Drosophila melanogaster: one gene and its partner. The gene in region 1 interacts genetically with each later gene. Each region holds a gene or a part of one and is shown on either strand. Other genes may lie near its edges. The genes, in order: E(spl)mgamma-HLH and Cdk9.

What was found.
Region 2: of E(spl)mgamma-HLH (region 1) and Cdk9, changing one suppresses a phenotype caused by changing the other (phenotypic suppression), as found in Drosophila melanogaster (one study listed by BioGRID).

The regions. Positions count from the first base shown.
Region 1 is NT_033777.3:25,998,025-26,001,360, forward strand, and holds E(spl)mgamma-HLH (enhancer of split mgamma, helix-loop-helix), read left to right. Parts: upstream 1-1,826; 5' UTR 1,827-1,918; coding exon 1,919-2,536; 3' UTR 2,537-2,737; downstream 2,738-3,336. Other genes in the region: E(spl)mdelta-HLH (enhancer of split mdelta, helix-loop-helix), read left to right, coding at 1-229. UniProt on the Drosophila melanogaster protein: Transcriptional repressor of genes that require a bHLH protein for their transcription. May serve as a transcriptional regulator of the Achaete-scute complex (AS-C) genes. Contributes to the neural-epidermal lineage decision during early neurogenesis.
Region 2 is NT_033778.4:22,635,385-22,639,772, forward strand, and holds Cdk9 (Cyclin-dependent kinase 9), read right to left. Parts: upstream 2,344-4,388; 5' UTR 2,207-2,343; coding exon 2,022-2,206; intron 1,960-2,021; coding exon 1,875-1,959; intron 1,816-1,874; coding exon 1,558-1,815; intron 1,490-1,557; coding exon 803-1,489; 3' UTR 679-802; downstream 1-678. Other genes in the region: CG17807 (uncharacterized protein), read right to left, coding at 1-540; bonsai, read left to right, coding at 2,469-2,674, 2,734-2,867, 2,927-3,429; CG3732 (uncharacterized protein), read right to left, coding at 3,654-4,096, 4,153-4,388.

The DNA of each region.
Region 1 (3,336 bases):
CCAGGCTGCCTACGAGGTCTCGCACATATTCTCTACGGTTCCCGGCTTGGATCTCAAATTCGGCACCCACCTGATGAAGCAATTGGGTCACCAGCTCAAGGACATGAAACAGGAAGAAGAAATCATCGATATGGCCGAAGAACCAGTTAATCTAGCCGACCAAAAACGTTCAAAGTCTCCGCGAGAAGAGGATATTCATCATGGCGAAGAAGTCTGGCGCCCCTGGTGAAGGGCATTCCATATATACGCAACCAATTAACATTGATAGCTTTACTACTCAGTTTCATTAAGAAACAATCCAAGTTTTCCAAGGTCTAGTGTAAACATTTGCCTCAGAATCGTATTTAGTTGGTAGTTGATTTGATATGATGTGATGTTCCTGTGATAGTTCTTAAGTTCGTATTTTGTATTTGATCTCCCATAGGCTTACTGATTCATGTATTTAATTCATTGTAATTTATTTCATCAACTTTGCAAGAGCTTCCCCACCGAGCTTCCACTTAGCCTCATTAAGAACAAATTTTTGTGTATGTTTTAAAATTATATTTTTCGCTTTACACCATTAAGTATAAGCCATGAACATTTGAATAATAAAATGAACGTAAACTGAAATTTTAAAAGCTTTATATTATTTGGAATATGAACATAAACAAGGTTGCTATAATCCATAGGTACATAGGTACAAAATGTTATAATATATATAATTATTATATTATAATTATAATTTATAAGCTCTTATTTAGCTTTCTTCGATATAAAAGATATATCAGATATATTTAAATATATTTCTAAAATCTAATTTGAAATATATAGAAAATATATATTTTCCTTGGAATTTTAATAATTTATAATTCTAAATACCAAATACCGTTATACTGTCCACTTGAATTCAAGTCAATTGAACTCTCCCCACTCCGTTTACAAATCCCTGTAATGCACCACCCATCCAACCATCCATCCATTACAAAGGTCCTGGAACGCGAGCAACTTACAGCCGAAAGTGTGTCCACAGCGAGCCACACGCGAGCAGCGCTCCAGGATCAGCATCGCTGGCCCCTTTTACATGGCGGATGGAGGGAGAGGCAGAGGTCCTGCCGGGTCGGGGGGATCGGGAAGTCGTACACGCATTAAGCGCACTCGACGCACACGAGCAATGTTCCCACAGGATCATAACAGCCGACCAACAAGTGCAGGATGCCTCTGTCCTTGTCCCTTCCTCTGCCACCAAACACGAACCCGATCCAATTTGGAATGCCAACGGTAAACAGGAAGTTGTCGAGGAATCGCAACGCCTCGTCCTTATCCTTATCCCCATCCCCCGGCGGAGGTCCCCGCTATCGTGGGAACCCCGGAGGACCCCGATGAGATGGCATAATGCAAGCAGTTCATTATCCTTATGCCCCTCACCCTGCCATGCCATAGTCAAATCATAACACACAAATCTAGAAACGGCAGCTGTTCGCTCTGCAAATTCCCATGCCCATGGCCGTGGCCATGCTCGGCTGCTTTTTGCGGGCAGGTGAGCGAGTCGATGTGAGAAACCGAGTAGGAAAGTGTTTCCCACGATCCTGGCAGCGATCCTGCTCCCTGGCCCGTTTGATAAGGGTGCCGGGGCCAACAATAAGAAATCGCCCGAACAATAAGGAGCGGTCTCAAGAAGCGGAAGGGTCGGTACCGAGCAACCCTCATGCCAGCACACGAAGCGTGTCCCCGTCCCTTTTGCTCCTCGAATGCCAGCACACACGACGACGACGACGATCCCTTTGGCCCATTTTTTGGGGGTTGTTTCTGGCCAGCTATATAAGGCCGATCACCGAAGGTCTAGCAACACACAACGACTTCGACTGTCGGAGCAGCAAGAGCTCAAAGAACTCAGCTTACATCGAAACTACAAAAAGAACAATAAGAAACACACAAAATGTCGTCGCTACAAATGTCCGAGATGTCCAAGACCTATCAGTACCGCAAGGTGATGAAGCCCATGCTGGAGAGGAAGCGTCGTGCCAGAATCAACAAGTGCCTGGACGAGCTAAAGGATCTTATGGTTGCCACCTTGGAGTCCGAGGGCGAGCACGTCACCCGTTTGGAGAAAGCCGATATCCTGGAACTTACCGTCACCCATTTGCAAAAGATGAAGCAGCAGCGTCAGCACAAGCGGGCTTCCGGCGATGAGAGCTTGACTCCGGCGGAGGGCTTCCGTTCCGGCTACATCCATGCCGTCAATGAGGTCTCCCGTTCACTCTCCCAGCTGCCCGGCATGAATGTCAGCCTAGGCACTCAGCTAATGACCCACCTGGGACAGCGCCTCAATCAGATCCAGCCAGCAGAAAAGGAAGTCTTGCCGGTGACCGCTCCACTCTCCGTGCACATCGCCAATCGGGATGCCTACTCCGTGCCCATTTCGCCAATCTCCAGCTACGCCGGCAGTCCCAACTCCAATACCAGTTCGACCAGCCATTCCCTGTTGACCACCATCGATGTGACCAAGATGGAGGACGACAGCGAGGACGAGGAGAACGTCTGGCGTCCCTGGTAGATAGGATTACTTCACACCACAACTGAAAAAAAAAAAAACGAAGGAGAGATCATAGAAAGTAAAAGTCTTCCGAGTCACTGGATTTCCACCAGTCGACTCCCACCTAGTTATAAGTAAACACCATAAACACACAAAGCTTTAGATGAGGACGCGCAGTTCATGTGATAACTAAATAAATAATAAATTATATAGCTAAAATTGAAAGATCACGACTTTTTCTGCCACTATCTAGTGACTCACATGCAAATTGCTCAGACACTCCCATGTCCAGACAGTTTCCAATTGTCTGCGGTCTAGAACGGAAACGCTAGAAACGCAATAGCACCTCTCTCTGTCCCCTGTAACTATTCGATCGCCCCACGGATGCACATACACGATCGTCGGACAAAAGAAAGCGAAAACAATGCCAAGGCCGAAACAAGAAGAATTAGGCAGAAGAACGAGAGAAGAAAGAAGTCCAAAGTCCAAAGCCGGGGCTACCGATACCGGGACATAGCCTATAGGCCAGTTGGTGGTTGCAACTCCAACACGTGTGCGGACAATAAGCGAAGGTAACAGAAAATATTAGAGTCTTATCTTTGAGCGTATCTAATCGAGTTACGACAATGTCGCTCAGACTTAGAAGAAAACAAATGGGCATAGAGCCGGCAAGGAACCCGAAAAAAAAACCGAAAACCAAAAAAGGGATCGAGTCATCATTCATCCCGCATCCGTCCTGATTTCGCTTTGTTCTCCTCAATTTTTTGTTGCCGTGATTCTCCCTGGCCACTCGGATAGAAAATCGTGTGCACAATGGTCAA
Region 2 (4,388 bases), on another chromosome or scaffold:
CTCAAAGCCGAAGTGCTTGACGTTTCGATGCTTTAGAGATCCCGTGACTTCGGAGGTTCTGCCATCCTCGCCAATGGCCCTCAACAGCGTTGACTCCTCCTCTTCGGTGACAAAGTCAGCAATTATGTGAAGGCCTCTGGGAAGAGGCTTGTTCCACTCACTTTTTCCCGCAAGTGCCGGTAGTTGCCTTATATAGCTAAGGTAGGCTACAGCTCCCTGTTGTCCAATGGTCGATATATTGTGCATTCCCTCATAGATGAGCTGGGAGTCTTCCAAGCTGGCACAAATAAAAAAACAGTACGATTTGCCCGGCAACATGACCACTTGGATGACTTTTCCACCGGTCGCGGCAGCCTCCGTGAGCAAACACTCCTCCGTGAGTCCATTGCTGAGTCCCACGTTGAGAACCGCCAGGTAAGGGGTGGGTTCAGCGCTTGGAGACACCTCGCAGTCACTTTTGATGATTGCCAGACATCTTCGCTGCTTTTTATCCGCCTTTTTGGCCTTGTTTACCTTTTGCTGTGTTTCCTCAACGTGCATCTCGCGGCCAGTGTGTACACCCCTTTTCAATGTTTTTCTTTTTGTTCTAATACTTAAGTCGATTGTGAATACCCTTTCTTGCAACTTCAAGTAATTGTAGAAACTTTGAATAAAGAATAATAAGAAGCAGAGAAACATAATGTAGGTATATTTGGAGCAAGCGCTAATGCAAATGCCAATATTTTTATTGTACACTAACCTAATAACCTAACGCTAGTTGAAGGTGAGAAACTATTAGTCGGGTGCGTACACCTCTGGCAGTCTACCAAACCCGGTCAATCATACTGTTGTCCTGGGGCTTCTGGTTCATGGTGGTCAGTTGCTGGTGATAGTTGCGCATCTGGTTGCTGCGGCGTGGCTGCGCCAGGTACTCGAACATGCTCTGCAGGTGCTGGGACAGCATCTTGCTCAAGTCGCTGGGCATGGGATCCGTCCAGAAGAAGTCGTGATTCAGAGCTGTGTCCGCATCGATGCGTTTCTTGGGATCAAGGGTCAGCAATTTGTCCAATAGATCACAGCCGGTTTGATCCTTGACATACGGACGCAGGCGCTCCTTGACTCGACGCTTCTGGTTCTTTGGCAGCTCGATGGATTTGTACAGCTCCAGCTCCTCCACTCCCGGCCACACGTCCGGCGTAAAGGAGCCGCATAGCTGCGAGATAAAGGTTAGCTGCTGCTGCTCCGTATTGCCTTGCATGATGGGCGAGCGTGTCCACATCTCGGCCATTATGCAGCCGGCTCCCCACATGTCCACGGGTGGACCATAGTTGCGGTCACCAAGTAGCAGCTCAGGCGGCCGGTACCACAAGGTTACTACGCGATTGGTATAGCGATTCTTACTCTCGTTCTTTGGAATGCTAAAAGCACGGGCCAAGCCAAAGTCAGCCAGCTTTAAGATGCCATGCTTGGTAATCAGCACGTTGGCAGCTTTCATGTCTCGGTGCAGGATCTAGTAATGCAAATGAAAACAGATACATACAATGTAAAACCAAAACTTTGCTTAATGACATGACTCACCTTGTTGCTGTGGATGTAATACAAACCGTTTAAAAGCTGCTGCATAACCTTCTTAATCTCGCCCAGACTGAACTTGACGTTCATGTTGGACAGAAGACCTGCCAAATCGTGTTCGCAGAAATCAAAGACCAAATAGAAGGTGGATCTGTAACCATTCGTGGCGGTGGCCTTGGTGCGGCAGATCTCGATCAGATTCACCACGTTCTCGTGCTTTAGCAGCTGCAGGATGCGGATCTCTCGCAGAGCCGTGATGGGAAACTAGGGGAGCACATATATAAATAAGGAATTCGTCTCTTAAGATGTTGCTTTTCACGCACGCCCTCCTTTTCGTTGTCCATCAGCACCTTCTTCATGGCCACAAACTTCTTGTTGCCCTTTTTCTCGCGAGCCTTAAAAACCTCTCTGTAATCAAAGGGGTCGTATGTTTTAGTTTAAAGTTAGTTTTCACCAATTTGGAGACTTACCCGAAGGTGCCTTGGCCAATTTTCGCCACCTTTTCGTATTTGTTGCTCTCGTCGCAGTAGGGAAAGTCGTAGTCCTCGATGTACTTTTGTTTCTCCATCAGGGACATCGTGCGCGATGAGCTGGAGCCCACGTTGGAGGGCGTCGACCCCGAAGGCTGCTGGAGCATGTGGGACATGTGCGCCATGGTTAAATTTGCCTCTATTTGTACAATTTTCACAATCACAGTTTCGCGAGAAGCCGACAGTCGAAAAGAAAGAAATCGGCAACAATTGGTGTTTCTACAGCTGTTGACTAAAGAAATACCGGTGTGCACACACTGTCAAGGCCTATCGATAAGAAATCGATGGGTCAAACAGCTGGGTAGTAATAACTTTTCGATTGTTGGTATACACTGGCCAAGTGATATAACCTAGCCAAAATTTGTCCAACAAATAAAAGCCGAATTAATGAATAAACTGTTGAATATAGCCCAGGCAGGGCATCGGCAGTTTGTCCGGGAATATGCATTCAAGTCGGACCTGAAAATCAAATGGATGCGCCCCGAGAAGATCGCGTGCTATAAGCCCGAAAAGAGCGGCGATTTAGCCAAGCTGCCTCCTCTGAAAGCCGACGAACTGCTGCCGGAATACAGGGACTGCAAGGAGTTGGATAAGTATGTTGCAGTATTCTCTCAATATAATAGTTTATTTACATCATCTCACCATTTTGTAGAGCCGACGAGTCAGTTAAATCCTTGTTCAAACTGAGCAACAACGCTAGTTACCTGACCACAAAATTCTATCGCGATGAGATGGTCAAGGAGGTGCAAAGACATGCCCAGGATTTCGGCTCAATGGAGGCCAAATGTATGTATCTTTGCAAAGTGCACATATAGCAGTTCCCCCCAAATTTGCCCTTCTTTTAGTGGCAAAAATGACTGCAGTTATCCGCCGCTACCAGGAGCACATGGACAAGCATCCGCGCGACAAGATGATCAAGGTGCGTCTCAAGGAGCTCATCGACAAACGCAAGAAGTTCCTCAAGTACTTGAGACGTTGGGATTATCCCCGCTTCGAGTGGATTCTCGAGAAACTCGACCTGGTGTACAAGCCACCGCCCACACATTTCCACTGGATCACCCGCAAGGAATCCCTCCAAAAGTTGACCGACATATACTGCGAAAACCTAAAGGAAGAGCGGCTAGAGGCTTACCATAAGCAGCTGCAGGCCCAGCAAATACCCTTCCTTGAGGAGGCCATCAAGAAGATGCAGTTCGTGCGGCAGGAACAGATTTCCTGCGATGTCCCCGTGACCGTGACAGAAGAGAAGATCGCCGACTCAAAAAGGCAGCTGGAAATGCTGAAGGAGCTGCAGCAGGCGGAGGCAGCCGCCAGCAGCAAGAAACAAAACGAGGATGGCTTCAATTAGGCCCGATTCTTTAATGTTACGGTGTCTTACAATAAATGTAAATGCTGGTTTTCTTAAATTATATGTTTTATTATACTTTAAGAGTTAGGCTGGACATCGTACCCTATGTCATGATCATCTGAGCGCATACTGGCAAATAAATAAGAAGGCAAGCATGATTGCCTTAGAAAAATGTGTAAAAACAGACGCAATTAAAGAGAAGTTCCTAAAGGGTACGGTTGCAGCTAACGTCTGCCCGACGAGGAGGTTTTCCGCCTGCCGCCGCTGCTGGAGCTACTCGAGCTGCTCGACGAAGAGTCGCTGGAGCTGGACGAACTGGACGACGACGAGGAGGACACGGAAGAGGTAGAGTCGCGTGAGGTACGCTTGCGCTCCTTGTCGCCATTGCCAGTGCCCTCTTTGCTCTTGACATCCGTGGAAGTGACTTCTTCGTCGCCCCAGAGATCGTACTTTGATAGATCCTCGTCGTCTCCCTCGTCGTCGTCCTCATCTTCTTCCTCATCATTCCGCTGCTCATCTCGGCTAGACCTTCTGGGCCTCTTTGAGTCCTCTCTATGCTCGCCGTGCTTTCGCTTCTTGCGACGACCGAACTCATCGTACTCGCTATCCGAATCCTGACGATCCTTGTACTCTACCACGCCGCGATCATTGTATCCACCGCCAAAGCCTTTAAAGAAACTGGTTAAGTGGGTTTTGAAGCAGATCAGGCTTCTACGGACTCACCAGTCCGCTCCTCCACATCCGAGAACTTAGGAGCGTTGCACATATTGCAGGTTTGGCGACGGGCCCAGTTCACATTCGCGCATTTGCTGCACTGCCAGTCCTCGGCGCTGAACAAGCCCCGCGACTTGTCGGCCGCCGCCTTGCCGATCTCGGTGCCCAGCTTTTTCTTGCTTGAGCTGCTGCTACTGCTGCTGCTCCCGTTGCCGCGTTCCCGCTCCCGGTCTCGATCCCTGTCG